Linked DNA regions of Anolis sagrei. The protein of the gene in region 3 purifies or fractionates together with the protein of the main gene of each other region. This does not show direct contact. Links are inferred from orthologs where the notes say so. Each region holds a gene or a part of one and is shown on either strand. Other genes may lie near its edges.

Region 1 (7,606 bases), about 28 Mb from region 3:
TTCAAACGGATCTAGATTTTAATGAGCTTGTTATGAAAACTAGACTGGCCACAGGTCAACTGGAATTAATAGTGTTTTGTCTGTTTCGGTGCAGAATCTCACTCAACAAAAGAATTGAGGCTGGATAGGAGTTGTAGATACTGGGATGTATAGTTCACCTGCAATCTAAGAGCACTCTGAACTCCACTAACAATGGACCTGGAACTAACTGCCATACAATTAAATTCAAAGCAGATAATCTGGATTTGGAAACTGGATTAAATGGCAGTGTAGAAGGACCTCAGATCCAATTAGGCCTGAGTCACACTGTTAATACAATAACATCTTCTATCTTCTATCTATACACATAATAAAAGTGAAAATATGTATATGTGTTCGGCTGGGGTGTCCACTTACACAGACAAGTCCTGACTCCACAAACAGCTATAGCTCCCACTACTCAGGAGACACCAAAAGCCGTCCCTTCAATTACATTGCAGTTTATAGTGAGTGCCGTGAATATATACAAGAGCCATGCCAATGTCCTCCACAAACACCATACTGCCTACCGCCCAAGTGAAGGCTTTCATATGGGGACAATTTCATTCTAGAGTTTACGTGTTTCTTCCTCCAGAGACATCCCAGTGTTTCTTACTCTCTCCATTGGTATGGAATTTGCATGACCCTGCCCACTGCATCTCCCTTAACTATTTCCTATTATTTTCTATGGCACACATCAAACAGAGGAATTGATCAGCAACTGAACATACTAGAGAGGTCTGGGGAGAATTCACCATGAGTTATTAGTTGTAGGTACTGGGATGTATAGTTCACCTGCAATCTAAGAGCACTCTGAACTCCACTACAGACGGACCTGGAACTAACTTGACACACAGAACCCTCACAACAAACAAAAAATACTGGAGGTCTTTGGAGGGATTTATAGGAGTTGGATCTGGACCAGACTTGGCATGCGTACCCTATATTCCCAGATTTGAATACTGGTGGGTTTTGAGGGGAATTGGCCTAGCCATTTTGGAGTTGGTAGGTACCGGGATTTATAGTTCACCTGCAATCAGTTAGCACTCTGAACTCCACCAAAGATGGAATTGGACAAAACTTGACACACAGCCCCCATTTCCAGCAAAAAAATAAATAAAAATACTGGAGGTCTTTGGGAAAAATTAACATTGATTTGAGGGAGTTGTAGTTCACCTATATTCAGAGAGCACAGTGAACCCAAACACTGATCGATCTGGACCAAACTTGGCACATACCCAATATGCCGAAATTTGATTATTGGAGAGGTGGGGAGAGCGCGGGGGGGGGGGGGGGGGAAACTGACCTTCCTTTCTAGGAGATGTCATTCACCCACAACCAGAGAAATAGTGACCTCCACCGATAATGGACCTGAACTTGACACACAGAACCCCCATGACTAACTCAACCTACTGGAGGGGTTTGAGGGTACAGACTCACCATAGTGGGAGGTGTAGTTTATGCTGCAGCCAGAGAGCACACTGAACCCCACCGATGATGCATCTAGAGTAAACTTGCCCAACATAACAAACGTTAAGTACTGATGGAGATTTTCGGGGTTAACCTGGCATGCTGTGAGTTGTAGTTCACCCACAACCTTATGCACTTTGTATAACTTAAAAATTGACTTTTTCAAATAACCCAGGCAATGCCAGGTACCCAAGCTAGTTTATGGGAATATAATATTAGTATATTACTGCCTTAGGAATATATTATGTATTGAATACAATTATTAAATAAAATTATTGAATATGCTGAATGGTTTTTAATTGTGAATTTTAATACTGTTTATATTTAATTCCGTTTTAATATTTGAATATTTGTATATTTGAAATTGTGTACTGTACTAATGCTTTTATATCAAGCCACTTTGAGTCCCCTTTGGGAGAGATAAAGCTGGGTAGAAACAAATATAATATTAATAATACTATACTATGATAATGGATGAGTTGGAATATAAATGCACTGAGTAGTGTGTATGGAAGAAAATGCCAAATTAGAAAATACTCTTAGGTATTGTGGCCACATTATGAGGAGACAGGAAAGCTTAGAGAAGACAATGATGCTGGGGAAAATGGAAGGAAAAAAGAAGAGGGGCCGACCAAGGGCAAGATGGATGGATGGCATCCTTGAAGTGACTGGCTTGACTCTGAAGGAACTGGGGGTGGTGACGGCTGACAGGGAGCTCTGGCGTGGGATGGTCCATGAGGTCATGAAGAGTTGGAAATGACTGAACGAATGAACAACATTGTAGGAAATATTGCTGGTTGGCCTAATAAAGGCAAGAGCCTCCAAAATGAATTTTGGCGTTTAACGGCAGACATTTGAGGCTCATTCTACATAGTTGTATAAAATACACATATAGCTGGAATGTGTCCAGAGGAGGGTGACTAAATGATCAAGGGTCTGGAGAACAAGCAGGCTTAAAGGAGCAGCTTAAAGAGCTGGGCATGTTTAGTCTGAAGAAGAGAAGGCTGAGAGGAGACATGATAGCCATGTATAAATACGTGAGCGGAGGTCATAGGAAGGAGGGAGCAAGCTTGTTTTCTGCTACCATGGAGACTAGGTCGCGGAACAATGGCTTCAAACTACAAGAAAGGAGATTCCATCTGAAATTTAGGAAGAACTTCTTGACTGTGAGAGCCGTTCAGCAGTGGAACTCTCTGTGTGGTGGAGGCTCCTTCTTTGGAGGCTTTTTAAACAGAGGCTGGATGGCCATCTGTCGTGGGTGCTTTGAATGCAGTTTTCCTGCTTCTTGGCAGGGGGTTGGACTGGATGGCCCATGAGGTCTCTTCCAACTCTATGATTGTGTATGACAGTGTGTCAGATATTTTAGTTCAAAGCAGATATTGTAGATCATCTGAGTTGATATTCTGGATTGTATGGACCTTAGGCTCCTTGCATACAGCTATATAAAATCCCACATTGTCTGCTTTGATCTGGGTGGGTTATATGGCAGTGTGGACTCAGATAACCCAGTTCAAAGGAGTTATTGTGGGATTTTGATATTCTGGGGGCCCTTCCACACAGCCATATAACCCAGAATATCAAGGTAGAAAATCCCACAATATCTGCTTTAGTGGGTTATCTGGAGTCCACACTGCCACATATCCCAGTGCAAAGCAGATAATGTGGGATTTTATTCTGCTGGGGAAGAGGCCTGAGTCCACACTGCCCTATAACCTAGTTCAATGTGGATTTTATATAGTTGTGTGGCAGGGGCCATAATACTGGTATTGTACTATGCTAATAATATAATATATATATTGTGTATATATATCTATATATATTGCAACAAGATTATGGCAACAAGAATGATTGACAACTGGAAAATAGAGGGAGGAAATGTGGAGGCCGTGACAGATTACTGCAGACGCAGACTGTGGCCAGGAAATCAGAAGACACTTACTTCTTGGGAGGAGAGCAATGTCCAATCTTGATAAAATAGTAAAGAGTAGAGACATCACACTGGCAACAAAGATCCGCCTAGTCAAAGCCATGGTATTCCCTGTAGTCACCTACGGATGTGAGAGCTGGACCTTCGGGAAGGCTGAGCGAAGGATGATCGATGCTTTTGAACTGTGGTGTTGGAGGAAAGTTCTGAGAGTGCCTTGGACTGTGAGAAGATCCAACCAGTCCATCCTCCAGGAAATAAAGCCCGACTGCTCATTGGAGAGAAGGATACTAGAGACAAAGTTGAAGTATTTTGGCTACATCATGAGGAGACAGCAAAGCCTAGAGAAGACAATTATGCTGGGGAAAGTGGAAGGCAAAAGGAAGAGGGGCCGACCAAGGGCAAGATGGATGGATGGCATCCTTGAAGTGACTGGACTGACCTTGAAGGAGCTGGGGGTGGTGACGGCCGACAGGGACCTCTGGCGTGGGCTGGTCCATGAGGTCACGAAGAGTCGGAGACGACTGAACGAATGAACAACAACAACAACAATATATAGCAAGCTGCTCTTAGTCCCCTTCGGGGCGAGAAGGGCGGCATATACATATCTATATAAATAAAAATGTAATGTTCGTTTGTGGGATTAACATAACTCAAAAATCACTGGATGAATTGACACCAAATTTGGACACAATATACTTATCAGGCCAACAAGTGACCAATACTCATAAAAAACACTGAAAAACACAGAAGAGACATAAAACAGGGAAAAAAATTAAAAAATTATAATGCAGGTGCAAAATCACATATACACATATATACAGAGTGGGCCACAGCAACGCGTGGCAGGGAACGGCTGGTCGTAAATAAATAAATATGTTGTATGGCTGTATGGAAGAGCCCTTAGATTCGCCTGAAAGGTGAGTAAAACTACCCTTGTTAATAAGACCACGCCACCTGCAATGAAGCCAGACTTCTTTGTGAGGCGCGTTGCATTCTGGACGTCGAAGTCTTTCTGACAGGGCCAAAGAAAGGTATTCACGGGGGAGAGGAGGCATGCCGGGATTTGTAGTCCCCGGCGGGCGACGTCACGGCCAGGGAGGCTTATGATTGGGGGTATGCCACGGTTTGCGAGAAAGCTGGCCAATAGCAGCGCCTGGAGAGGAGGGCGGGGCTTTCTTGAAAGGGAAAGGAAACTCCCCGGATGCTGCCTAGCCTAGCCTGAGACCGGCTCGGAACTTTCCAGAAAAAGTCAGCGCGAGAAGGAGAAGGAAGAAGGAGAGGAGGCTCGAGCCGGCTGTTAGAAGAGAGAGAGAGAGATAGAGAAAGAGAAGACAGGGCTGCTTTCATTGTAAGCCTGCGTTTGGGTCGAAAGCGCGAGTGAGTGAGGGACAAAGGAAAAGCCGGGTGGGGTGGGGGTGGGGTTGGGGTTGGGGGTGGGGGAGGGGTCTCCTCAGCTACCTTCCCCCCCCCTCCTCTAGTTCTCCACAAAGAGAGGGCGCGCGGGAGAGAGAGGGAGGGAGGGAGGGAGGGGGGAGCGCGCGACGGTTAGGTCAGCTGACTCCGGGTTCTGAGAGAAGGCAGAGAAGGGGATTTGGCGGGAGGGAGGGAAGGAGAAGGGAAGGGAAGTCGGGCCTTCGTGGGTGAGGGAAGGGGGGGGGGAGAGAAAGAAAGCGGAGTCGTGGAGTGGGAGACAGCGCCCTCCACACAAGGGACCCCTGCAAATGGGACTGCAGTGGGTGCCCCTTCTGTGTCACGTGATGGAGCGAGGGAGGCCCTTTTACATAACAGTCTGTGGGGAAGAAGACCCCCCCCCCCTTGTAAAGTTGGGAGCCTTCCACACACAGCTGAATAAAATCCCACGTTTTCTGCTTTGAATTGGAATATATGGTAGTGTGGACTCAGGGTACTTTCCACGCAGCCATATTGCAGGACCCAGGATATCAAGGTAGGAAACCTCACAATGTCTGCTTTGAACTGGAATATATGGCAGTGTGGACTCAGGGCCCTTCCACACAGCCGTATTGCAGGACCCAGGATATCAAGGCAGGAAACCCCACAAGATCTGCTTTGAACTGGTATTCTGGATCATATGGCTGTGTGGAAGGGCCCTTATTCTAATTGCTATTTGACACAAGAAAAGAGTTAGGGGGTGTTTTTTTCCACGGAGGCTCCAGTGGCTCTATTATCAGGTGGGGCTGGAAAGAGAAGCAATGAGGGGCAAACTTGGTTTGCCTGAAGCACCGCTTTCCCAACATTTCTTTAGTCACAGCATCATTTCGCAACACAGTTGTTCTGTTTTTAATAGCTAACTAGAGGTAAACCAATCCCGTTGAAGAGAATACAGGCACCTTCTCAACATGATAAGAGTACAAATCAATAAACCTACAAGGAGAATCATCATGTATGGCAGGCATGGGCAATCTTTGGCCCTCCAGGTGTTCTGTATTTCAACTCCCAAATTCCTAGCAGTTTATGGCTGTTCGAAATGGTGGTGGTTGAAGTCTGAAACACCTGGAGGGCCAAAGGTTTCCCATGCCTGATGTATGTGACAACAACAGCAAGTGCTGGTAGATGTAGACCTTTAAAGCCCTAGACCAGTGGTTCTCAACCTGTGGGTCCTCAGGTGTTTTGGCCCACAACTCACAGAAATCCCAGCTAGTTTACCAACTGTTAGGATTTCTGGGAGTTGTAGGCCAAAACACCTGGGAACCCACAGATTAAGAACCACAGCTCTAAACAGTTCAGGTCCAGGCTATTTGGCCAGCTGCATACCCTTGTATGAATCTGCCCCAGCCTTGAGATCTTCAAGAGAGGCCCATCTCTCGGGGCCCTTCCACATGGCTATATAACCCAGACTATCAAGGCACAATACCCCACAATATGTGCTTTGAATTGGGTTATCTGAGTCCACGCTGCCATATATTCCAGTTGAGAACAGGGAATATATGTGGGATTTTATTCAGCTGTGTGGAAGGGGCCTCAGTCCCACCTCCATCTGAAGCTCAGAGAGAGTGGGCCTTCCTTCTCCGTAGGTGGGTGCTTCAATACTCTGGATCTCCCTTCTTCCTAGGGAAGCCAGAATGGTCCCCTCCCTGCTGTCCTTCTGGTGGCAGGCTAAAACCTTCTGAATCAGGCAGGTTTTTAAAGAAGGTTTTTAAGATTTAGTTATGGGGTGCTGTGGTTTTAAACTTTGAATATGTTTTTATGGATTTTAATGTATTTTTTTAGTGCTACCTGTGTTTTTGTTTTAATGTGTATATATTTGTACATTTTAAATTGTGTACTAATACTACTGCTCAAGCCACTTTGAATCCCCTTTGTGGAGATAAAGCGGGCTATAATAATAATAAAATAATAACAATACAAATGAATAAACCTGTAAGGATTATCATCATGTATGTGATTACAACAGCAAGGATAGTATTGGCAAAAAAGTGGAAAATAACGGGAGTACCTTCTAATCTATGATTGACAACTGAAATTAAGAGAAGCCATGGAAATGACAAATTTACTAGAACAATGAAGGGGGGGGGGGTCTCTAAGCAAGGTGCTGAAAAGTGGGAGAATGTAGATAAATACTTGAAGGAATAAGTCATCTCTGTGAATAAAAATAAGTATTGGCTATTTAAGATTTAAGATTCTGCTTTTTCCTAAATGGGATGCAAGAAGACTTAGGAAAAATTTCAACCTCGAAAGGAAGGAAGTATTGTTTTTGTAGTTATAGTTTATTTGGATTATGTTATGATTGATTGTTTTGTGTGTTGTGTTTTCTTTGTATTTTATGGTGTAGTATGCTTTTGTTTCTTTCTGAAAATCAATTAAAATGTTAAAAAAAAGGAGATAAAGACACACACATATATTGTAATAAAGGAAAGTATGGGGGACACAACATATCACATGAAAAGCTTCTGTTTGTATATTTTTAAAAATGTATATATGATTTGTAAGATGACATACATTTCCAAGATTTACTGTATGTCATTTCTCATTATGTTTGCGTTACACATCTACACATGACAGCCGACATACTAAACAGTTTGGAAAGCTCTGGTGTAGATAATCCAGAGTAATTGGTGCGCAGAGTGAGGCAGCGCAAGAAGATACAAGTTTGGTCTCACCAGAGGTCTCTTTATGGGCACAGTCTTTGAGGAAATAAGGAAGTGGGCTGAACTCATGACATCATAAATTTTG
Region 2 (7,450 bases), on a different chromosome or scaffold from region 3:
TTCAAAGGCACTTGGAACATCTGGTACTTTTCCCGTACCATAAAAGCAAAGGGATGCTTTTCAGCACCTTCAGCCAGGAGTAAAACAGCTTATTTGGTTTAATAATTGGTGTAAACCCAACTCAACCTTATTTATTGGCAGGTAAGACAGAACCAAATAGTTCTGTACCCTGAATCATGAATAATGTTGGACATAGTTGTCCCAGTTCTCTTAGCTTAGGTCCTTTTGTAGTATGGATCCTGTCAAATGTATGGTTCAGTTAACTCCCACCAGATGAATTTGTTTCTAGAAGCAGGTTGAAATGACTTGAGTCCCGTCCGAGGTTAGAAAAGCCGGGGGGGGGGGGGGGGGTCACTGGAATTCAACAAGTGACTTGAAGGCACACATTATAATTACAATATATTTACTTTCAATGGTAACAGTATGCATTATGTGCTCAATTTCCGGTATTTTGTACAATGGGGAAATGCTTCATAATTTAAGGCAGACAATTCAGCAAATGTAGTGGAGTTGTGCCACAAACATCCGTATAAAACTGGGCATGAACTTTTTTTAGAAGGCAATGACAAATATGTCTGAAAGATCTAAGAGGTGCTTTACTTAACAAGAAATTTAAAAACAACTTGCGTTCTTTGCCCTGAATGTACGAGTACTAGAAGCCAATAGAATGTATTGCTTAATACATATCGGGATGACAACAGAGGAATGGGGATTTGGGATGTCAAATGAATACATTTTGACCCCAATGCCATGACTCGGTGCTCTTGAATCCTAGGAGTTGTAGTTCCACAAGATCTTTAGCTTTCCCTGCCAAAGAGTGGTGGTACTTCACCAAACTACAAATCTCAGGATTCCAGAGACTGAGCCATGGCAGTTCAAATGGTGTAAAAGTGCATTAAGTTGACAGTGTAGATGCATCTGTTAAGGCAATGGTTCCCAATCTGTAGTCCATAGACCACCAGTGGTCCACAAGAATTAAAATATGGTCCGTGGCCTCACCATTACTATACTGTTGCAATGAGAGCGAGACTGGTCTCACGAAACCCTCTTATAGTGCCAAGGCTTATTAAGTACTGTTTTCTTTGAAATGCAATTCAAAGTACTTTGAATGTAATTTTCCTGCTTCTTGGCGGGGGGTTGGACAGGGTGGCCCACAAGGTCTCTTCCAACTATGATTCTATAATTCTGTGGGCAAGCAGATGGCCACTACTGGATGGCATATGCTCTGTATCAGAAACTAGAGCTGATGTGGTCTATCCAATGCAATTTTCTGAATCAGCACCCTAAATAACCAAACGAAAAGTTGACCAAAAACTGATTCGTAACCCTTTTGGTACTAATGTCTGGACCATCCTCCAAAAATCGAGTGCCCTAACAAATTTGTGAACATCCTGCGGCTCCTCCATGATGACAACGATTTTGGACAACAATGGCTCCCAGAGTGGCCCATTTAAGGTGGAATCAGATGTCAAACAGGGATGTGTTATTGCCCCAACTTTATTTTCCATCTTCATCGCTATGATACTTCATCTTGTTGACAGGAAGCTTCCCACCGGTGTTGAAATCACATATCAGACAGATGGTAAGCTATTTAACCTCAGCAGACTGAAAGCCAAAACTAAGGTTACAACAACATCTGTTATAGAACTTCAATATGCTGATGACATTGTCTGTGCACATCCAGAAGTCTACCTACAAACCACTCTAAACACCTTCGCAGAAGCATACGAGAAGCTCGGCCTGTCATTGAACATCGAGAAAACCGAAGTTTTCCAGCAGTCACCAGCCAATCCTTCTCCAATGCCAGAAATACAGCTTAATGGTGTAACATTAGGAAATGTTGATCATTTCTGCTACCTTGGCAGCCACCTCTCCAAAAAAGTCAACATTGACACTGAAATACAACACCGCCTGAGCTCTGTGAGTGCAGCTTTTTTCCGAACGAAGCAGAGAGTGTTTGAGGACCGGGACATCCGTAGGGATACCAAGGTGCTTGTTTATAAAGCTATTGTCCTCCCAACCCTGCTATATGCCTGTGAAATGTGGACTGTCTACAGACGTCACATGCAACTCTGGGAATGATTCCATCAGTGCTGCCTCTGGAAAATCCTGCAAATCTCTTGGGAAGACAAGTGGAAAACATCAGCATGCTGGAAGAAGCAAAGACCACCAGCACTGAAGTGATGGTCCTCTGCAATCAACATGTCCGAATGCCCAACCACCGTCTCCTAAAGCAGTTGCTCTACTCCGAACTCAAGAACAGAAAACGGAATGTTGGAGGACAGAAAAAGAGATTTAAAGATGGGCTCAAAGCCAACCTTAAAAACTGGCACAGACACAGAGAACTGGAAAGCCCTGGCCCTTGAGCGCTCCACCTGGAGGTCAGCTGTGACCAGTAGTGCTGAAGAATTTGAAGAGGCACAAATGGATGGCGAAAGACAGAAATGTGCCAAGAGGAAGGTGCGTCAAACCAACCCCGACCAGGACCGCTTCCCACCTGGAAACCGATGCCCTCACTGTGGGAGAAGATGCAGGTCAAGAATAGGGCTCCACAGTCGTCTACGGACCCACCCTGGAGGATTATCCTACTCGGACAACGAGGGATCGCCTAAGTATATAAAGTAAGGTACTAATGTTGGAGAGTGGTCCCTGGTCAAAAAAAGGTTGGGAACCACGGCTTTAGATAAAGCTCTTGTCTGGAACAACACACCAAAAAGTAGAGGTGAATATGCAGAGATCTCATCGAAAGCAGAGAGAATACAAGCTACGATGAGAAACCTCTCCGGAAAGAGACTCACCCTGGCTTGAACTCCTGTACTTTCCTGACAGAGCGGCTTAAGAGCAGCGGGCCCCTTGCAGCGCGAAGCATTTGCCTGCCGCCTCCGCGCGCCGAGAAAAGCGTACAGCCCTTAATAGGCTGCAACCTTCCCCATAGGGTGTCTCTCAAGTGAAAGGGCATGGGAGGTACATACAGAGAGAGAGAGAGGTGTCCCCATGTGCTTCTGCCGCAAGGGATGCTGGGGGGAGTAGTTCTCAATGGCTGAGGTGTGAGCCGGTTGGTCCTTTGGCGTCACGTGGCAAGAGAAAGCGCGCCCCGTGATTGGCTAGAGGGAAGAAGAGGAGGCGGGGAATGTGGCGGCGGAGGAGGGCTTCCGGTGCGGGCCGGCTTGTTTTGGCTCCTGCCGTCACAGTATGGCGGCGCGCGGCGGAGAGGCTCCTCAGGACCTGCCAGAGGGAGGGAGGCGCAGCGGGGAGGCGGAGGCGGCCTTGGCCTCGGACGGAGCCCGCGGAGGTCCTGAGGTAAGAGCCCGGCGGGTTTGTCTTCGCGGCTGGGCGAGGGAAGGAAGGAGGGAGGGGAGAGGAGGCTCCGCTCCACGCGGCCGCGAGGGAAGCGGGCTCCGGCGCCTGAGGCCATTCCGTCCCGCCGCCTCCTCCTCTTCCTCGTCCCATCGTGGTCCTTAATACCACCATCCAACCTATATGTCGTTTTGCAGGAACACCACGAAACACAGCAAGGACGCCTCTAGCTCACGCATGAGCAAACTTCGGCCCTCCAGGTGTTTTGGACTTCAACTCCCACAATTCCTAACAGCCGCTAGGCTGTTAGGAATTGTGGGAGTTGGAGTCCAAAACACCTGGAGGGCCGAAGTTTGCCCATGTAAGGCACAAATGTAACTTGTGTTGCATTGCAAGCCCTACTGGCCGCATAAAATGACATGCCTTTGACGTGCACGATCTAAAATATCATTGTAGAGGCCTACAGACACAAAGGGAAGGAGGAAGAATAATTCACTATTGTACAAAAGCTGTGCTATAGTTGTGATAACTTGCAAAAAGAAGAAAAAACCCACAGTGTAATACAAAACACAACAGCCAAGGATATCGCACTCATTTTCACAACAGAATCATAGAGTAGGAAGAGACCATGTGGGCCATCTAGTACAACCCCCTTCCATACAGGAAAAGCACAAAATATCCCTGACAGATGGTCATCCAGTCTCTGTTTAAAGGTTTCCAAGGAAGGAGTTCCCACCTCATTCTGAGGCAGAGAGTTCCACTGTTGAACAGCATATACAGCAAGGAAGTTCTGCCTAATGTTCAGGTGGAATCTCATTTTCTGTAATTTGAACCCTAGTTCCACTTTCAAGGGCAGCAGAAAACAGGCCTGCACCCTCTTATGACACCCTTTCACATATTTACACATGGCTATTGTCTCCTCTCAACCTTTTCTTCTGCAGGCTGAACATACCCAGTTCTTTAAGACACTCCTCATAGGTCTCCAGAACTTTTATCATTTTAGTCGCCTCCTCTGGACACCTTCCAGCTTGTCAATATCTCTTTTGAATGGTGGTGCCCAGAATTGGATACAGTATTCCAGGTGAAGTCTATCCAAAGCAGAATAGAAGGTACCATGACTTCCCTCAATCTAGACCAATGGTTCTCAACCTGTGGGTCCCCAGATGTTTTGGTCTTCAACTCCCAGAAATCCTAACAGATAGTAAACTGACTAGGATTTCTGGGAGGCCAAAACACCTGGGGACCCACATATTGAGAATCACTGATCTAGACACTATACTCCTTTTGATGCAGCCTAAAATCCATTTGGTGTTTTTAGCTGCTGCATCACACTGTTGGCTCATGTTCAACTTGTTGTCCAGGAAGACTCCAAGATCTTTTTCACCTTGACTGTTGTTGAGCCAGGCATCACCCATCCAGTATCTTTGCATTCCATTTTTTCTGCCAAAGTGTAGTATCTTACATTTGACCTTGTCGAAAACAATAATCAAAATAAGAAGGCCGCAAAACAAAAATAAAGTGCTATCATTTTACCAACCAAAGCCAGGCCTGCCATTCTTTTGGAACAGGGACTAAGAGTGCATCTACACTGTAACATTAATGCAGTTTGGTACTATTTAAACTGCCATGCTGTAGAATCCCAGGAGTTATCGTTATTGCAAGGTTTGCTGCTTTCTCCGCCTCACCAAACTGTAATTCCCAGGACTTCATAGCATTGAGCCTTGGTAGTTAAAGTGATTTCATACTACGCTAACGTGACAGTGCAGATGCACTCAAGAGTGTTTTAATGCACGAGCAAATGAAGAATGCCAAATCCTACTCTGCAGCAGAACCTAGAAAAGAAGGGAAAGGACATAGCTGTCTGTCCTCATGCCAGAAAGCTCCTTAGAATATGGTTGGCAACACTGTGCTGCTTTTGGGGATTCCTCATAGTTCTTTTCCAGTTCCTAATTAAATTACCTGGGAAGGGTTAAAATGATGTTTATTGTTTATTCTTTGTATGGAATAATTGGGCTAAGAGGCTCCCTTTCCTCCTAACTGTTAAGTGTTAAGTACAGCCAGCTTTGGGATTTGGGGCACAGGACTCCCTTGAAAGTGAAAAACTACACACACACACACACAAAGAAGTAAGAAAGGCGCATGAAAGGATTTAGAATTGTCAGTGAATCTTGCTAGATTTCTAAAAAAAATATGAGTCTCAGGTTCTGCTCATTTTGATCTCTCTGTACAGTGGTCAGAATGCCCACAGGTACCACTCCAACTCCACAACTTTCTGTAGAGAAAGCAGGGTGGACAGCATGCGCCTACTGGGAAAGGCATGGAAGTAGTGTCCTGGTATGTTCAAGCACAAAGTGTTTCTATGTGCACATGGCCAAGGAATGTGCCTATCAAGGTCTTCCAGCATCAAAAGAAGTTGAGGAGCACATCTGCTCAGATGCTGATAACACAGTAGCTGCCTCCTTGAAAACACTTCCAGATCTGGAGGAAAAAAGGATTGGCTGTGCCATGCTCCTTTGGCTCATATGATGTCCAAAGGTCTCTGAGCAGGTTGCTTAGGCAATTGCAAAACTCCAGACTTTTTCTTAACATCTGAGGTTAACTACTAAGGAAATCCTAACTTAGCTTTATTATAAAAGTGGGCCCTTGATATCCCTGGGGTTTGGTTCCAGGACACAAACAACATTTGAAGGGACCCAAAATCCATGGGTTCTCAAGTCCCTTTAAATACAACGGCATAGTAAAATGGTGGCCCTTTTATGGCAAAATGTAAGATTTGCTTTTTGTAATGTCTTTTTTAAAATATTCAAGACATGGGTGGTGAACACATGACTAGAGAATCCATGGATACAGTGAGCCAACTACAGAAAAGGGAACACTGATTCATCATGATCATTATAAGACTATTTTGCTCATCAGTGTGAACAGAAACATTAATTACATGCTCAAATGTATTACAAGTTTTGGGAAAGTTAAGTACCATTGAAAATTAATAAATGTGAAACTCAAATGCCTGGCATTTTAGGTACAGAAGATATAAAGATGTGGAATCAGTAGGGACTCCAGTTTCTTACTACTTTTAAATGCTTGCTTTTTGTTTAAGGTATTTACATTCCATGTGCTCCAAGCAGTAGCTTATGACACTTTACTATATATAGAAATACAAATTAAGTAACCAAGTAATAATAATTTATTAATACCATATTATAGTCAGATGTGATCTTATGTAATACCAATAGATTAACACTTGCAAGAGTTTGGAAAATAGCCAAGAAATTTTGAAGGAACTCAGAAGAAGTGCTATCATAGAAATATTACCTCACCTGTAGTAAACATATACCATAGTTTAGCAAACAGGCCATCAAGAGTAAGGCCTCCAATAAATCCAAACAGGCAAGCTCCTGTGGAAGCAGGTTGGCAAAGTATGGTGAGATTCTATTACTGCTGAATTTATACAGGTTCTGCATTTAATTGCAATAAAGTTTTCTGTAGTTTTGGGTTCAGAGATAAGAAGTCAAGAACAGTTTCAGAGGAAGTCTTTGATCTTATAGTTGAGTTCTCTGGTGAATACATTTCTTTAGCTAGCTACAATAAGAGAAGTCCACAAGGCTATGCTTGTCAAAAAAAGTTCTTTATCTGATTAATAGTGGTGCAGAAGAAACAAAGCACTCCTGTAATCTCTTCTAGTCTTCTGTCAGTTGGGCCAACAAAGCACAAAATTGTTTTATGTGTGTGCTGACAAGTCACTTATTGACTTATGATGAGCCCATTAATTCCTTAGGGTTTTCTTTGGCAACAAATATTCAGAGGTGATTTTGTCAGTTTCTTCCCCTTTCACCTACACCACCTAGTATTTATTGGCAGTCTCCCGTCCAAGTAGAGATTGGGTTGTCCATGCTTAGCTTTCAATATCATGAGAGATCTGGTGCCTTTAAGCTGCACATAATATTTAATTGTGCAAAAATAGTGCAAAACTTTATCAAGAAATAATCTTCATGCTAGAATATTGAATAAAAGCACAGCTTTCACCCTTAACATTAATCAAAATAAATTAAAGGAAAGTTTGACATCAAGTAATTGCAATGATTAAAAAGAAAATAATGTGTTCGTTTGTATAATCTTAGAAATGAATTGCTAGTGTAAAGACATTTCAAGC
Region 3 (7,659 bases):
ATTATTATTATTATGTGGATTTTATGTGGCAATGTGGAAGGGGTTAAAGCAGAAAATCCCACAAAATCCGCTCTGAACAGGATTATGAGTGCACACCGCCATATAATCTAGTTCAACGTGGATTTTATATGGCAGCGTGGAAGGGGTCTGAGGGTCCTTCCACACAGACATATAACCCGGAATATTAAAGCAGAAAGTCCCACAAAATCTGCTCTGATCAGGGATTATGAGTCCACACTGCCATATAATCCCCCTAGAGGGCTCCGGCCCAGTTTACCTGTCCAAACATATCTCCTTCTATGTCCCACCTCGGAGTCTAAGATCTTTGGGGGAGGCCCTACTCTCGGCCTCGCCTCTATCACAAGTGAGGCTGGTAGGGACGAGGGACAGGGCCTTCTCAGTGGTGGCCCCTCGCCTGTGGAACTCACTCCCTGGCGAAATTAGGTCATGAACATCCCTCCTCTCCTTTAGAAGGAAGCTGAAAACATGGATATGGGACCAGGCCTTTGGGTAATCTGGCAGACTGACAAGGTAATGACGACCAGAATTTGGAAAGGACTATGGTAATGCTGAATGGACTTACGGATACGTTGGCCACTAGATTGGCTTTTTAGTTGTTTATTTATTTATTTTATTTACGACATTTATATGCTGCCCTTCTCACCCCGAAGGGGACTCAGAGCGGCTTACAAGGTATATATACATACAGTATATTATTAACATAGTACAATATAAGTTTTAAATATTGCTATATTGCACTATATCAATTATACTGTAATATTATTAGTAATATTACATGTAAGATCAGTGTTTCTCAACCTGGGGATCGCGAAGGTGTGTCAGAGGGGTCGCCAAAGACCATCAAAAAACACAGTATTTTCTGTTAGTCATGGGGGTTCTGTGTGAGAACTTTGGCCCAATTCTATCATTGGTGGGGTTCAGAACACTCCTTGATTGTAGGTCAATTATAAATCCCAGCAAGCACAGCTCCCAAATTTCAAAGTCTATTTTCCCCAAACCCCATCAGTTTTCACATTTGGGCATATTGAGTATCTGTGCCAAGTCTGGTCCAGATCCATCACTGTTTGAGCCCACAGTGCTCTCTACATGTAGGCGAACTACAACTCCCAAACTCAAGGTCAATGGCCACCAAACACTTCCAGTATTTTCTGTTTGTCATGGGAGTTCTGTGTGCCAACTTTGGTTCAATTCCATTGTTGGTGAGGTTCAGAATGCTCTTTGTTCGCAGGTTAACTGTAAATCCCAGCAACTACATCTCCCAAATGACAAAATCAATCCCCCCGCCAACCCCACCAGGGTTCAAATTTGGGCATACCAGGTATTTGTGCCAAATTTGCTCCTGTGAATGAAAGTACATCCTGCAGATCATTATTTACATGGCAATTCATAATGTTAGGGTTATGACTGGGGGTCACCACAACATGAGGAATTAAGGGGTCGCGGCATTGGGAAGGTTGAGAACCACTGTGTAAGATAAATATATAATTGTTATTGTATTAATTGAATGTTTTAACTATTGTGGTTATTGTTGCTATGTATTTTATCTGTTGAATTGTTGGCATCGAATTGTGCCGGTTGTAAGCCACAATGAGTCCCCCCTAGGGGGCTGAGAAAGGTGGGGTAGAAGTGAGCGAAAATAAATAAATAAATAGTTCAATGTGGATTTGATATGGCAGTGTGGAAGGGCCCTTAGCCTGGTGGGGCCACTAATCTCATTTGACAGGGCAGGGAGGGCGCAAGGCCCCACTCCTTCTCTTTGCAGGCACTGAGCCCCATCTCCTGAGGCGGTACCTGCTCCACGGTGGCCGGGTCCATGCTTTCGATGCGAGCGGCGGCCGTTTCGTACTCGTCCTCGCTGTTGTAGCCAGCGCCGGCCTCGTCCTGCTCGGGGCTGTTGCCTCCGCCGCCGCCTCCTCCAGGCCCCGAGGGTCCCCCAAGGCCTCCTGCGGGCCCGCCGCGCCGCCGCCTCTTGCTGTGTCCAGGCCCCGAGCAGCAGCCCCCGCCTCCACCGCCTCGCGACTCGGCCACGCCGGGATCCAACAGGCCCGAGCCGTCCCCGCCGCCTCCACCACAGGGCCCCACGCCGGGGTTGGGCGGCGGCGGCGAGCCAGCGGCGGGGGGCAGCCCCCAACGAGGCGGCGGGGGTGGCGGCGAGGCTCGCGGCCTAGCTCCGCCGCGCTCCCCGGGCCCGCCGACGCCTCCGCCGCCGACGCCTACGCCGCTGGGGCCTCGAGGGTGGGAGTCCGCGCCGGAGCAGCCCCGCGGGTCCGGGCCCCCGACGCCGCCGGGTCCCCCAGGACCGCCCTGGCCGCCCCCTCGGGAGCCCGGCTGGTCCCTGTCTCCGTCGCCGGCGGCCGGGCAGGCCTTCTTCTTGGGCAGGATCGTCATGGCAACCGAGGGAGGGGGCAAGCAGAGGAGTCCCGAGCCGCGCGTGAGGGGCACAAGTCCCCGGATGGAGAGGCTAAGCAGTGACAGTTAACCCAAAGGCACTGGGGATGCAGGAGGAGGGGGTGAGGAAGGAAGGAAGGAAGGAAGTACCCGTATGGAAGGGAGTTTGGGGATTCCGGAGGAGAGGGGCGAAAGAGGCCCTCTCCCCTCCGCTGGGATGGAGAGCGGGGACCCGGATGGAGAGGCCCGGGACCCGGATGGAGGGCCCGCTGAGGAACCACTTCTTTGAGGAAGGGAAGGAATGCCCGGATGGCAGGCCCAATCACAACCGCATCGCGCCCCCCGCCAGGCGGGTCAAAAGAGGAAGCGGGCCCCGTCAGCCCCCAAGAGGCGCCGCTGTCCCTGCCGGACTTGCTTCCGCCAACTCTCGCCGCCACCGCCGCCGCCTCGTTCTTCCCTCACGACAGCTTTTCGGGCCTTGCGCGGCGTCCCGGCGGCGGCGGCGCCTACTACTCCACAGCTCCGGCCTAGTGTCAACATCAACACAGCCGGCCTCTGACCCCGGCGAACTCCACTTCCGTTTCCACGCCCCCCTTCCTCCTTAGCGACGGGGGAGGGCCCTGGCAACGGCGCCGCTCTCAAAGGCTGCTGCACGTGACTCCACGCTCAGTGGCTGAGCGGAGACGGAAGCCCCTCGCCGAGTGGCCAGCGGCGCTTGTCACTCAGGCGAGGCCCCGCCTCTTTTCTACATTCCCTCCTGCCACCCGATGCCATTGAAGGCAAGCGGCGGATTAGCATGCCGAAAGGGGCCTGGGAAGTGGATTCGAGGAGAGACGCTTCTCTGGTTTATGATTGGCTAATAGCGGAGGGCTGTTTCCGATTGGGTGAAAGCAATCCCTGGCGTTGATAGGCTGAGAGGCAGGTTCTTCGGGCTCCCTTCTGTACAGCCTCCCTCTGGTTTGAGGGCAAGCATTCAGATGCGGAGTGATTTGTTCTGCTCCACAAGGATTCTTGGGCAAATTTGGGGCCTTCAGGTGTTTTGGACTCCAATTCCCACAATTCCTCACAGTCTCAGCCTCTTTCCTTTCCCCCCTCTCCCAATTAAGGAAAAGGCCGCTTTTAAAAATCTATATTCTTCTCTCTTAATTTTTTAGCTAATATGTTATATGTAATATTTTTTATCTAATATGTTATATCTAGAAATAGTTTTCTAAGATCTACAGAGACACTCGCTGGAACACCTCAGCAAGCAAGAGTCCAAAAGTGGCAGGCTCAAACCCAGAACCTCAACCAATGGCTTTTTTTTTATCGTGTCATCGGCAACCATTGTATTACAATTCTAACAGAGCAAAACAAACACACAGATTAAAAAGAAAAAGGGGGGAAAAAAACACAGATTTTGCAAATTTGGTAGTTGATTAAATGTCCTTTGACCAGTATCTGGCCACTTGGAGTGCTTCCGGTGTTGCTGCAAGAAGGTCCTCCATTGTGCATGTGGCAGGGCTCAGGGTGCATTGCAGCAGGTGGTCAGTGGTTTGCTCTTCTCCACACTTGCATGCTGAGGATTCCACCCTGTAGCCCCATTTCTTAAGATTGGCTCTGCATCTCATGGTGCCAGAGCGCAGTCTGTTCAGCGCCTTCCAAGTCGCCCAGTCTTCTGAGTGCCCAGGGGGGAGTCTCTCATCTGGTATCACCCATGAATTGAGGTGCTGGGTTTGGGCCTGCCACTTTTGGACTCTCGCATTCTGGGGTGTTCCAGCGAGTGTCTCTGTAGATCTAAGAAAACTATGTCTTGATTTAAGTCATTGACGTGCTGGCTGATACCCAAACAGGGGATGAGCTGGAGATGTCTCTGCCTTGGTCCTTTCACTATTGGCTGATTCAACCAATGGCTGATACCAAATGAGAGACTCCCCTCTGGGCACACAGAGGACTAGGCGACTTGGAAGGCGCTGAACAGAATGCGCTCTGGCACCACAAGATGCAGAGCCAACCTTCAGAGATGGGGCTACAAAGTGGAATCCTCGACATGCGAGTGTGGAGAGGAGCAAACCACTGACCACCTGCTGCAATGCAACCTGAGCCCTGCCACATGCACAATGGAGGACCTTCTTGCAGCAACACCGGAAGCACTCCAAGTGGTCAGATACTGGTCAAAGGACATTTAATCAACTACCAAACTCACAAATTTTGTATTTTGTCTGTTTGTTTGCTTTGTTCTGTTAGAAATGTAATATAATTGACTGGTTGCCCTGACACGACAAATAAATCTGACAAATAAACATGAGGAAAGAAACTATATTGAGAGAATTTAGAGATATTAAACTCTCATGGTTCCATTGCTTACAGTTAGAGCAATGGTTCAAGAATTGGATAAAAAATAATGGGGAAGGTGGCAAATTCACGCAAGTTGAACAAATGATACAAAACGGAAGAGCTACGGGAAGATACCACAAGTTGAAAGGAATAACCAGCAAATTGTATAAGATAATAATTGATATTAAGGGGGGGAAAAAATAAAGGATGCAACATTAAGAGAGATATGGGAGGAAGACCTAGGGATTAGAATAAACGAAGTGGATTGGGTACAATTATGGGATCAAAGATATTTAAAGAATTTATCGATACATGTTAAAGAAAATTATTACAAATTGATGTGGAGCCCCCGGTGGCGAAGTGGGTTAAACCCCTGTGCCGGCAGGACTAAAGACCAACAGGTCGCAGGTTCGAAGAGGCGGTTCGAAGAGGCGAAGAGGGAGAGGCGGATGAGCTCCCTCTATCAGCTCCAGCCCCTCATGCGGGGACATGAGAGAAGCCTCCCAAAAGGATGATAAAAACATCAAATCATCCAGGCGTCCCCTGGGCAACGTCCTTGCAGACAGCCAATTCTCTCACACCAGAAGCGACTTGCAGTTTCTCAGGTCGTTCCTGACACGACAAAAAAACCCCCAACCTATTCAACTTGTATGCAGAACACATCATGCAATGTGCGGGGCTTGACGAATGCAAGGCTGGGGTGAAAATTGCTGGAAGAAACATTAACCTTATATATGCAGATGATACCACTTTGATGGCCAAAAGCAAGGAGGCGCTGAGGAACCTTCTAATCAAGGTGAAAGAAGAAAGCATAAAAGCTGAGTTGCAGTTAAACATCAAAAAAATCAAGATTATGGCAACGAGAATGATTGACAACTGGAAAATAGAGGGAGAAAACGTGGAGGCAGTGGCAGACTTTGTATTTCTAGGTGCAAAGATTACTGCAGATGCAGACTGCAGCCAGGAAATCAGGAGACGCTTACTTCTTGTGAGGAGAGCAATGGCCAATCTTGATAAAATAGTGAAGAGTAGAGACATCACACTGGCAACCAAGATCCGCATAGTTAAAGCAATGGCATTCCCCATAGTCACCTATGGATGTGAGACCATAGGGAGGGCTGAGTGAAGGAATATAGATGAATTGATCCAGTGTTCAATGTCTGAATCATTGTTATTTAAATCCTCTTTCCATATTTCTATTTCTTGTTTCAAATTATATCGAATTCCAACTAATCTCTTGTATATGAACCCCATCAGGCTTTTCTCCTTTTCTAGTTTCCACTTTAACATTTGATCAAAATCTGTTTCTGGGCCTTCCTTTTTCCTCCACGTCATGATTCTTTGTTTCAATCTATCCCAAAGGAGCCAGTTACATTGACCAAGTGCACCTACCTGCCTCCCCGGTCTCTGCAGAGCCACCAGAGCCATGCAGGCAGCAGCAGGCCAGGGAGGCAGGCCTTTCCCGCTGTGCCTCAGGCCAACGCACTTCAGGGGTCCCTGGCCTCCACTGGAAGTTAATATTTAATATTAATATTTTCAAAAACCCACAAAACAGCGAGTCTGCTAAAAGCGAACCGCAAAGTAGCGAGGGAATACTGTAGTTCCATTTTGCCAGGTTATCTTTTGATCTGTCCACGCCACTTCTGAGTCTGTCCAGGGACTTCCAAGTTGCCTGTTCTTATTTTGCCCTTGGACGAAGATCCTGGGATTTCCTGGTTTGGCTGCCCACAAGGATACTCTTGCTGTTGCTGGGGAAACATTTAGAGGAGTGGTGTTTCTTGTGAAACTTTTCCTTGGCCTTGAGGAGAAGACATTTGCTGTTGTGTCTGTCCCAAGCAGCAAACTGTCTTAGGCTAGGCCTGGGATGATCTAAATTTCCACCAGATAACAAAGTCTTTCGACTTTTGAAAAGCTGTAGTGTCCTCTTTATGGATTTGCATAGCCTTTAAGTGGGATGTTGTGGCACTTGATTTGACCCTACTGGGAAAAGGCTGATAACCATATTTTGTTATTTCTTTTGCAATTGGCAGCAACTTCCATTCTGGGGCTTTGGGGGTGGGGGGCAATGCCAGCTAGCTTATAAAGTCTTTCAACAGGTGTAGATTTGAGACATCCTGTGATTATTCTACATCAGTGGTTCTCAACCTGTGGGTCCCCAGATGTTTTTGGCCTTCAACTCCCAAAAATCCTAACAGCTGGTAAATTGGCTGGGATTTCTGGGAGTTGTAGGCCAAAACACCTGGGAACCCACAGGTTCAGAACAACTCATCAAGGCCTCCCATACATAAATCCATTCAAGATCTCTTTCCACTTCTGTCTTTGAGAACCACTGATCTACATGCTATATTCACTGCTATATTCACCTGCTTTGTATGGACACACTTATCCCAGACGGGGCAGGCATACTCGAGAGTTGAGTAAGACAATGCCAGGGCTCATGTTCTTATCAATTTTGGGTCTGCATCCCATGCACTACCTGTTATGTTTCCGCAGCTGCTTTGTGTTTGGTGTTCATACAGTGTTTCCTAAATGTTGGTGTTTGTTCTAAGGTGACGTTGAGATATTTATAATGTGAACAATCCCTCTGGTCAGAGTGGCTCCTTGGGGAACCTTGAGGGACTTAGGCCTCAATCTGTAGGTCTTTGCTCTGCTTTCTATATTTGTCTGTCAGTCTCCAAGTGTGTATGTATCTACTGTGTACACGTAACTCTCACACATGTTGTATCCAAACTAGAAACTAGTAATAAATATATTTGTCTCCCTGAGGGCCCTTCCACACAGCCGTATAACCCAGAATATCAAGGCATACACAATATCAGCTTTGAACTGGTTTATCTGAGTCCATACTGCAATATAATCCAGTTCCATGTGGATTTTATGCAGCTGAGTGGAAAGGGCCTTACTATTTCTGTACCGTATATATCTAGTGTTCTC
Region 4 (7,934 bases), about 120 Mb from region 3:
ACTCATATAATGCAATTAAACTGCACTATGGCAGGATACATTGGGCCTAGGCTTGTCAGGTCACAATTATCCCAGACTCCAAGATTTCAGGTCCAAAATGGATACCAAAGTGGATACCAAATGCTGGCATCCCTTACAGAAAACAACTCAAATGACTACTGCAGAAAGCATGAGAAACTGTGAAATGGCAGGAAGCCATGCCTACTCATCAATGTAGTATTCAATATGCGGCGAAATCAAGCTTTGCTTTGGGTATGTGTGTATGCATATGTGTGTGTGTATATATATATATATTTCAATGCTTGATTGGTTGATTCTGTTGAAGCAGAACCTGTGGATACTGAGGGCTTGCTGTATTCAAAAATATAAAGGAATACTCAACCTTCCAACATGGAGAACAGAAAGAAAATCCCAGAATAAGCTTTCATTGGTTGCAGTCTACTTCATTCAGAAAGGTTTGTAATAGGTATTTTTCTCAGTCACCAAGCTATTAACAAGATTCTATTATATCTTTAAATACAAGTATAAGTTTATAATTATGCTGGGGAAATAATTTATGCTGGGGAAAGTGGAAGGCAAAAGTGGAAGGCAAAAGGAAGAGGGGCCGACCAAGGGCAAGATGGATGGATGGCATCCTTGAAGTGACTGGACTGACCTTGAGGGAGCTGGGGGTGGTAACGGCCGACAGGGAGCTCTGGCGTGGGCTGGTCCATGAGGTCACGAAGAGTCGGAGACGACTGAACGAGTGAACAACAACAACAAGTTTATAATTGTTACTGTATATATATATATTTAAAGAAATGTAAGCACCTTACAGCCCACAAGGGCTCCTTGGACTGTTATCAAGCCATGGTAACCCCCTCCCCACCCCAATGCTTTATAGTTCACCAAGGACCAATATATGATTTTTCCTTCTTTATTAAAAAAGGTCGTTTCCAGAGGTCCAGAATAGCACAAGTTCAGGACTTCAGAAGATTGAGAACAGATCCAGCAGCAGCCGTACTCCTATTAAATATATCATATCTAACCCTTTAATAAATTGTATTTATTTTATTATTGTTGTGTAACTTGTATCTTTTAGCCATATACTGTATCTCTTTCCTGTATAAAATGTATAAATTACCTTGTAGAAATGTATCAAAATGCAGCCCGGAGACAGACACCCTCTGAGATAATCCCCTGAGAATAGGAAGGTTGGGCAAATCCCTCTGGCTATTTCCCAAGCCAGATAATCATCAGGCTCATTATGTACAGAAAGGTGATTTCCCCTGCCAGCAACATAAGCCAGATGTTGGTGTAATTCACCTGAGGTTGAGAGCCTGGTGCTCCGTCATGGGAACAGGAGCTTAAAGTGTGAACTTTCATTAACTCCATTGTTGACAGCCAAGCCCTTGCTTGCCTAGGACTGGCACCTTTGTCCTCCGAGTCTCACACCTTTATTTCTGGAGCTCCATATCTTCGTTTAACATGGAACTGAACAATTGAGCTACTCAAAAATTCATTAACATATAATTGGTATTATCTTCTCCAAGATCGCTCCCTCTGCAGCTGATTGGTTCTTCACTCTGACCAATCTCCGGCTGCCATCCTCCCCGACAAGCAAATCCCTGCCTGGAAGCTGTGATGTCAGCAGAGCTTTCGATCAATCCCAGCAGGGAAAAGAGCCATCCTCTTTTCTGGCCAATTAGAGGAGGTGGCGGGAGGTTTGAATGGCTGTCAGAATTGTATAAGATGTCTTACATTCCCCGCATGTTTATGCTTGTACATTTTAAAGCAAATTACTTGTACCTGCATCCCTTCTGGCTGAATTGTAATAAATCTCTGTGGCTTATCTTCAACCTGATGAGTTGTTTTCTCTGTCCTGGCTTTTTTGGTTTAGCATACCCTCATCGGGCACAAATCCTCCTATCTGTGGTCCTGGCTAAATCACTTCAAGACAATGAACAAATGAAAACAATGAACAAAACAAGATGATTTACATGCAATGTATTCAGGATATATTCATAGTGTACTTTTCAATTTGATGGGTGGAGTTTTTATGTCTTAATTTATAACTTTTAATATAGAAACAGATCAACAAGGCCATGTCTACTAGAAGTATGGCACAAGATTGTTGTACTGCTTGCAGCATTGAGTCTCGTGAACTAGTTTTTCTGATCAGCTATGTCAGTGGGCAGCTTGGTCTGAATAACCTCAGTCCTTTGTTATGGGAAACAACCATCCACTTCCATGGAGAAGGCCTAAAGCAACATACAGGTTCAACATCCATTATCTGAAAATCTGAAATACAATACTCCAAAATTAAAAAATTGTTCACATGGATGTGAGAAACTGACATCTTTGCTTTCTAATAGTTCAATGTGCATACACTTTTGTTTGATTCACAAAATTATTAGATATTATGTACCAAGAGGCTATGTGTACAGTGTATATATAATCAATTTTATATTTTGATTGGTTCCCACCTCCAAGACATATCATGATGTGTGTGTGTGCGTGCGCGTGTGTGTTCCATTATAAATATGAATCCAAAATACTTTTGGTCATAAGGATTTTGGATAAGGGATACCCAATTTGTATTGGCTGCTCCAGAAATATGCAGCATCACATGGGATGTGCTGTTTATAGGATCCAGCTATGCTGACATTTTTTATTATTTGCTAACTTGTCAACTATATCTAGTCACTGAATTTTAACACCAGATGAATAATAATAATAATAATAATAATAATAATAATGAATTTTATTTATATCCCACCCCTCCCCACAAGGACTCGGGGCGGCTCACAACGGAATCAAGTCACAATACATACATAAGCAGAAACTAAAAAGACAAGACACAATATATAACCAATACTCATAAACATAATGAGAAGACAGGAAAGCTTGGAGAAGATGATGCTGGGGGAAAAGGAAGGAAAAAGGAAGAGGGGCCAACCAAGGACAAGATGGATGGATGGTATCCTTGAAGTGACTGGTTTGACCTTGAAGGAGCTGGGGGTGATGATGGGCTGTCAGGGAGCTCTGGTGTGGGCTGGTCCATGAGGTCATAAAGAGTCAGAAGCGACTGAATGAATAAACAACAACCTCATAAATGAAAATTTTTAAAACAATATCACAAGAAATACACAGTTAAAAAATTGTATTGGGTTTAAAAATGTATTGCACTGCGGAGGCAAAAACTAGTTAAAACCAATAGGTATTGACAAGCCTGAAGACGAGAAGGCTGAAAGGAGACCATGTGTAAGTATGTGAGGGGAAGTCTTAGGGAGGAGGGAGCAAGCTTGTTTTCCGCTGCCCTGGAGACTAGGACGCAGAACAATGGTTTCAAATGACAGGAAAGGCAATTCCACCTGAACATGAGGAAGAACTTTCTGACTGTGAGAGCTATTCAGCATGGTTTGGTAACTGCACAGTGGCAGACACGAAGGCACTCTAAAGGATCACCACTTCTGCACAGAGAATCATTAATTGCTCTTTCCCCTGTTTGGAAGACCTTTATAAGTCCTGTTGCTTTAAGAAAGTTCAGAACATTCTTGGGGATCCATTTCACCTGTCATTTTTTTTTTAATTATTGCCATCTTGCAGATGGTACAGGGTGACAAAGACAAGGAGAAGCAGACTGAGAGATAGCTTTTTTCCTAGAGCTGTGGCTATGTTGAACTCAATAGTTTCACACTGATGTGGCATTGGGGGCAGTGTGGTGGTGGTTGGGGTGTGGAGGGATTGGTGTATTGTTTTGTGGTGTATGATGGGGAAGGCTTCAAACTACAGGGAAAGATATTCCACCTAAACATTAGGAAGAACTTCCAGAGAGCTGTTCAGCAGTGGAACTCTCTGCCCCAGAGTGTGTTGGAGGCTTTTATGCAGAGGCTGGATGGCCATCTGTCTAGGTTGATTTGAATGTGATTTTCCTGCTTCTTGACAGAAAGGGGTTGAACTGGATGGCCCACGAGCATTTTTTGGCTCTAAGCTTGGTAAAAGTTGTTCATTTGTTCAGTCATTTCCGACTCTTCGTGACTTCATGGACCAGCCCACGCCAGAGCTCCCTGTCGGTCGTCACCACTCCCAGTTCCTTCAAGGTCAATCCAGTCACTTCAAGGATTGCATCCATCCATCTTGCCCTTGGTCGGCCCCTCTTCCTTTTTCCTTCCATTTTCCCCAGCATAATTGTCTTCTCTAAGCTTTCCTTTCTTCCCATGATGTGGTCAAAGTACTTCATCTTGGCCTCTACTATCCTTCCCTGCAATGAGAAATCGGGCTTTATTTCCTGAAGTATGGACTGGTTGGATCTTCTCGCTGTCCAAGGCACTCTCAGAACTTTCCTCCAACACCACAGCTCAAAAGCATCGATCTTCCTTTGCTCAGCATTCCTTGTGACCCAGCTCTCATATCCATAGTTGACTATGGGGAATACCATTGCTTTAACTATGCGGATCTTCGTTGCCAGTGTGATGTCTCTACTCCTCACTATTTTATCAAGATTAGTCATTGCTCTCCTCCCAAGAAGTAAGTGTCTCCTGATTTTCTGTCTGCAGTCTGCGTCTGCAGTCATCTTTGCACCTAGAAATACAAAGTCTGTCACGGCCTCCACGTTTTCTCCTTCTATTTCCCAGTTGTCAATCATTCTTGTTACCATAATCTTGGTTTTTTGATGCAACCCAGCTTTTGCCCTTTCTTCTTTCACCTTGATTAGAAGATAAAAGTACAACGCCCTAATTCTTGTGCTGAGCCACCCTCAAAAGGCCCAATGCTAAATGATCTCCTCGCGCGGTACCTTCCTCCCTCAGTGCCAGGGTGACACCGGAGATCTTTCTACGCCGCACCAAGTCAACTTCTGTAGGCGGGGCTTGAACTGAGTGACAGCGGTCTCGTCCAATGGCCAGGGAGAATCCTCTGCCAGCAGCCAATGATTCGGAGGGGGCGGGGATACGGAACTCGAGCGCCGGGAGCCTTGGTAACGCGCGGCACATTTGCTTGTGAGCAGCGCGTGGGGCGGAGGCGAAGAGAGAGGCGTCGAGGATGAAGATCGAGGAGGTGAAGAGCACCTCGAAGACGCAGCGCATCGCCGCCCACAGCCATGTCAAGGGCCTGGGCCTGGACGAGGGCGGCGCGGCCAAGGCAGCGGCGGCGGGGCTGGTCGGGCAGGAGAACGCCAGGGAGGTGAGAAGGCCTCAGGCCAAGAGGGAGGCCCCTTTGAAGGGACTGAACAGGCCTGGGCCAACTTGGGCCCTCCAGGAGTTTTGGACTTCAATTCCCACCATTCCTCACAGCCTCAGGCCCTTTCCTTTTCCCCCTCAGCCGCTTAAGCTGAGGAATGGTGGGAATTGAAGTCCAAAACTCCTGGAGGGCCCAAGTTGGCCCAGGCCTGGTCCAGACCCACAAATTCAAGACTCCTCATAACCTGAGTGAAGGAAGATGCTTTTGAACTGTAGTGTTGGAGAAAAATTATTGGACTGGAAGAAGATCGAATCAGTCCATACTCCAGGAAATAATGCCTGACTGCTTACTGAAAGGAAGAATATTACAGGCAAAATTGAAGTACTTTGGCTACGTAATGAGAGGACAGGAAAGCTTGGAGAAGATAATGATGCTGGGGAAAAAGGAAAAGAGGTCAACCATGGGCAAGATGGATGGATGGCATCCATCTGGGCCAGAGTGAAGAGATAGGGGGCCAGGGGACAGTTCCACCTTGTCTCCTGTGCTATTCTAATAATATAACATAATGTAATATAATATATTGTATATACGTATAATATTTATAATGTTATAATGTAATGCAATCTAGTACTATTTTTTTTTGTCGTGTCAGGAGCGACTTGAGAAACTGCAAGTTGCTTCTGGTGTGAGAGAATTGGCCGTCTGCAAGGAAGTTGCCCAGGGAATGCCCAGATGAATTGATGTTTTTATCATCCTTGTGGGAGGCTTCTCTCATGCCCCCGCATGAGGAGCTGGAGGTGATAGAGGGAGCTCATCCGCCTCTCCCCGGATTCAAACCTATGACCTATCGATCTTCAGTCCTGCCAGCACAGGGGCTTAACCCACTGCGCCACCGGGGGCTCCTTATAATACTAATAATAATATGATATTATAATTATATATTTATATTACATGTAATATTACTATTACAATATAGTGGTATAGTACAATATAGTAATATTTAATACTGATATTGTACTTTGCTAATAATATAATATATCGTATGTATATATATACACCTTGTAAGCCGCTCTGAGTCCTCTTCAGGGTGAGAAGGGTGGCATATAAATGTCGTAAATAAATAAATCCTTGAAGTAACTGGTTTGACCTTGAAGGACTTGGGGGTTGCCACAGCCGACAGGAAGCTCTGGTGTGGGCTGGTCCATGAGCTCATGAAGAGTTGGAAATGACTGAACGAATAAACAACAACAACAAAATCAGCCACTGATTGAGGTTCCAGATTTTTACCTGCCACTTTTGGATTCTCACTTGCCGAAGTGTTCCTACGCCCATGATGGCGAACCTATGACACGTGTGTCAGCACAGACACGCATAGCCATTTTCGATGATATGCGGCAGCATACAGAGAAGACATTTAATCCTCGGCTCCTACACCAGCATTTTTCTATGATGCCGAGATATATGGCATTATAGAAAAAGCAGGTAACTTAAATAATTAGTTTTTGGTTTATTAAATACAGTTATATATTACAATAATATATTTTTGTTATTAAACTATAAATATCATGAAATTATGGGTTATTCTCGAAGTGACACCCCACTCGAGTTATGCTCGGTTTTTTGGCGAGTATTGACACACCAAACTCGAAAGGTTGCCCATCACTGTCCTACGCATATCTCTGTAGGTCTTAGGAGGCTATTTCTTTATTTAAGATATTGGCATGCTGGCTGGTATCTGTACAGAGGATGGGCCGAAGATGTCAATGCCTTGGTCCTTTCATTACTGGTTGCTACTTCCTGAAGGTTATCAGGTGGTACAATACTGGCTAAACAGTACAATGTTTCCAGTAGTAAAGGGCGTAGACATCTTGTGATAATGTGGGTGGTAATACATCCAGGCATTCCCTGGGCAACGTCTTTACAGATGGCTGATTCTCTCACACCAGAAGTGATTTGCAGTATACAATAAATCAAGTAACTTGTGTAGTTACATACTCATATCCCATTCTAGGCACATTTTCATATATGTATGCTCCATATAACAAGTCTAGCTTCTTATAGAAGTTTTAACTTATTTCACTGTTGAATATCCCTGTGGGCAGAAAAATTGGGCTATTCCAACTCGATAGCCCCCTACGAGGATCTTCCTCCAGGGGCAAACCAAGAATGGGCAACTTGGAAGTCCCTGAAGAGACTCAGAAGTGGTGTTGAGAGATCAAAAGACAATCTGGCAAAATGGCAGTACCTAGAACAATCCTCTACCTTTTGCTGTTGTGGAGCAGAACAAACAACTCCGCATCTGTATGCTTGCCCACAATGCCCTGCCACATGCACAGAGGAAGAACTGTTTAAAGCTACAGACAATACAGTTGCTGTTGCCTGTTTTTGGTCTAAATTTTTAGCTGCTTGTGTTCCCTTTATTTTATCAGTTTTATACTCATTTATGCAATGCTTTTGACACAAAATAAATAAACTTATTTCACCATTGTGGCTCAGTTGTATACATTATATTAGTTAAGCATTGCTATAACCACCTAGCCAGAGAGGAGTTATGCCAGTTAACCAGCATTGCAGAGTGTTGCAAATAGCCTTAGAAGCCGGGATAAATTGTCTATTTCTATAGACAGTTTTTCAACTGGAGAGGTATACGTTTTTATTACTTTCGCTGTTATTTGCTTATATTGAGTAAGGAGTTGTGCATTATTGTATATTTGGGAAATAATAAAAGCTGGTTTATATAATAATAATTATCAAATTTATAATGGAATTACTAA

What was found.
Region 1: the proteins of OTUD5 (region 3) and DNAJA1 purify together in Homo sapiens (affinity purification with mass spectrometry, with the first as the bait; 3 studies listed by BioGRID). This does not show direct contact. The link is inferred for Anolis sagrei from reciprocal best matches to the Homo sapiens genes OTUD5 and DNAJA1.
Region 2: the proteins of OTUD5 (region 3) and CTPS2 purify together in Homo sapiens (affinity purification with mass spectrometry; 3 studies listed by BioGRID and IntAct, with this or other methods). This does not show direct contact. The link is inferred for Anolis sagrei from reciprocal best matches to the Homo sapiens genes OTUD5 and CTPS2.
Region 4: the proteins of OTUD5 (region 3) and RUVBL1 purify together in Homo sapiens (affinity purification with mass spectrometry, with the first as the bait; 3 studies listed by BioGRID). This does not show direct contact. The link is inferred for Anolis sagrei from reciprocal best matches to the Homo sapiens genes OTUD5 and RUVBL1.

Annotation. Positions count from the first base shown.
Region 1 is NC_090022.1:150,548,885-150,556,490, reverse strand, and holds the start of DNAJA1 (dnaJ homolog subfamily A member 1), read left to right. Parts: upstream 1-4,597; 5' UTR 4,598-4,792; intron 4,793-7,606.
Region 2 is NC_090023.1:90,167,759-90,175,208, reverse strand, and holds the start of CTPS2 (CTP synthase 2), read right to left. Parts: upstream 3,013-7,450; 5' UTR 2,960-3,012; coding exon 2,799-2,959; intron 1-2,798. Other genes in the region: TXLNG (gamma-taxilin), read left to right, coding at 3,193-3,300. UniProt on the Homo sapiens protein: Catalyzes the ATP-dependent amination of UTP to CTP with either L-glutamine or ammonia as the source of nitrogen. Constitutes the rate-limiting enzyme in the synthesis of cytosine nucleotides.
Region 3 is NC_090022.1:178,620,046-178,627,704, forward strand, and holds the start of OTUD5 (OTU domain-containing protein 5), read right to left. Parts: upstream 3,003-7,659; 5' UTR 2,410-3,002; coding exon 1,813-2,409; intron 1-1,812. UniProt on the Homo sapiens protein: Deubiquitinating enzyme that functions as a negative regulator of the innate immune system. Has peptidase activity towards 'Lys-48'- and 'Lys-63'-linked polyubiquitin chains. Can also cleave 'Lys-11'-linked ubiquitin chains (in vitro).
Region 4 is NC_090022.1:55,532,651-55,540,584, reverse strand, and holds the start of RUVBL1 (ruvB-like 1), read left to right. Parts: upstream 1-4,928; 5' UTR 4,929-5,022; coding exon 5,023-5,163; intron 5,164-7,934. UniProt on the Homo sapiens protein: Possesses single-stranded DNA-stimulated ATPase and ATP-dependent DNA helicase (3' to 5') activity; hexamerization is thought to be critical for ATP hydrolysis and adjacent subunits in the ring-like structure contribute to the ATPase activity.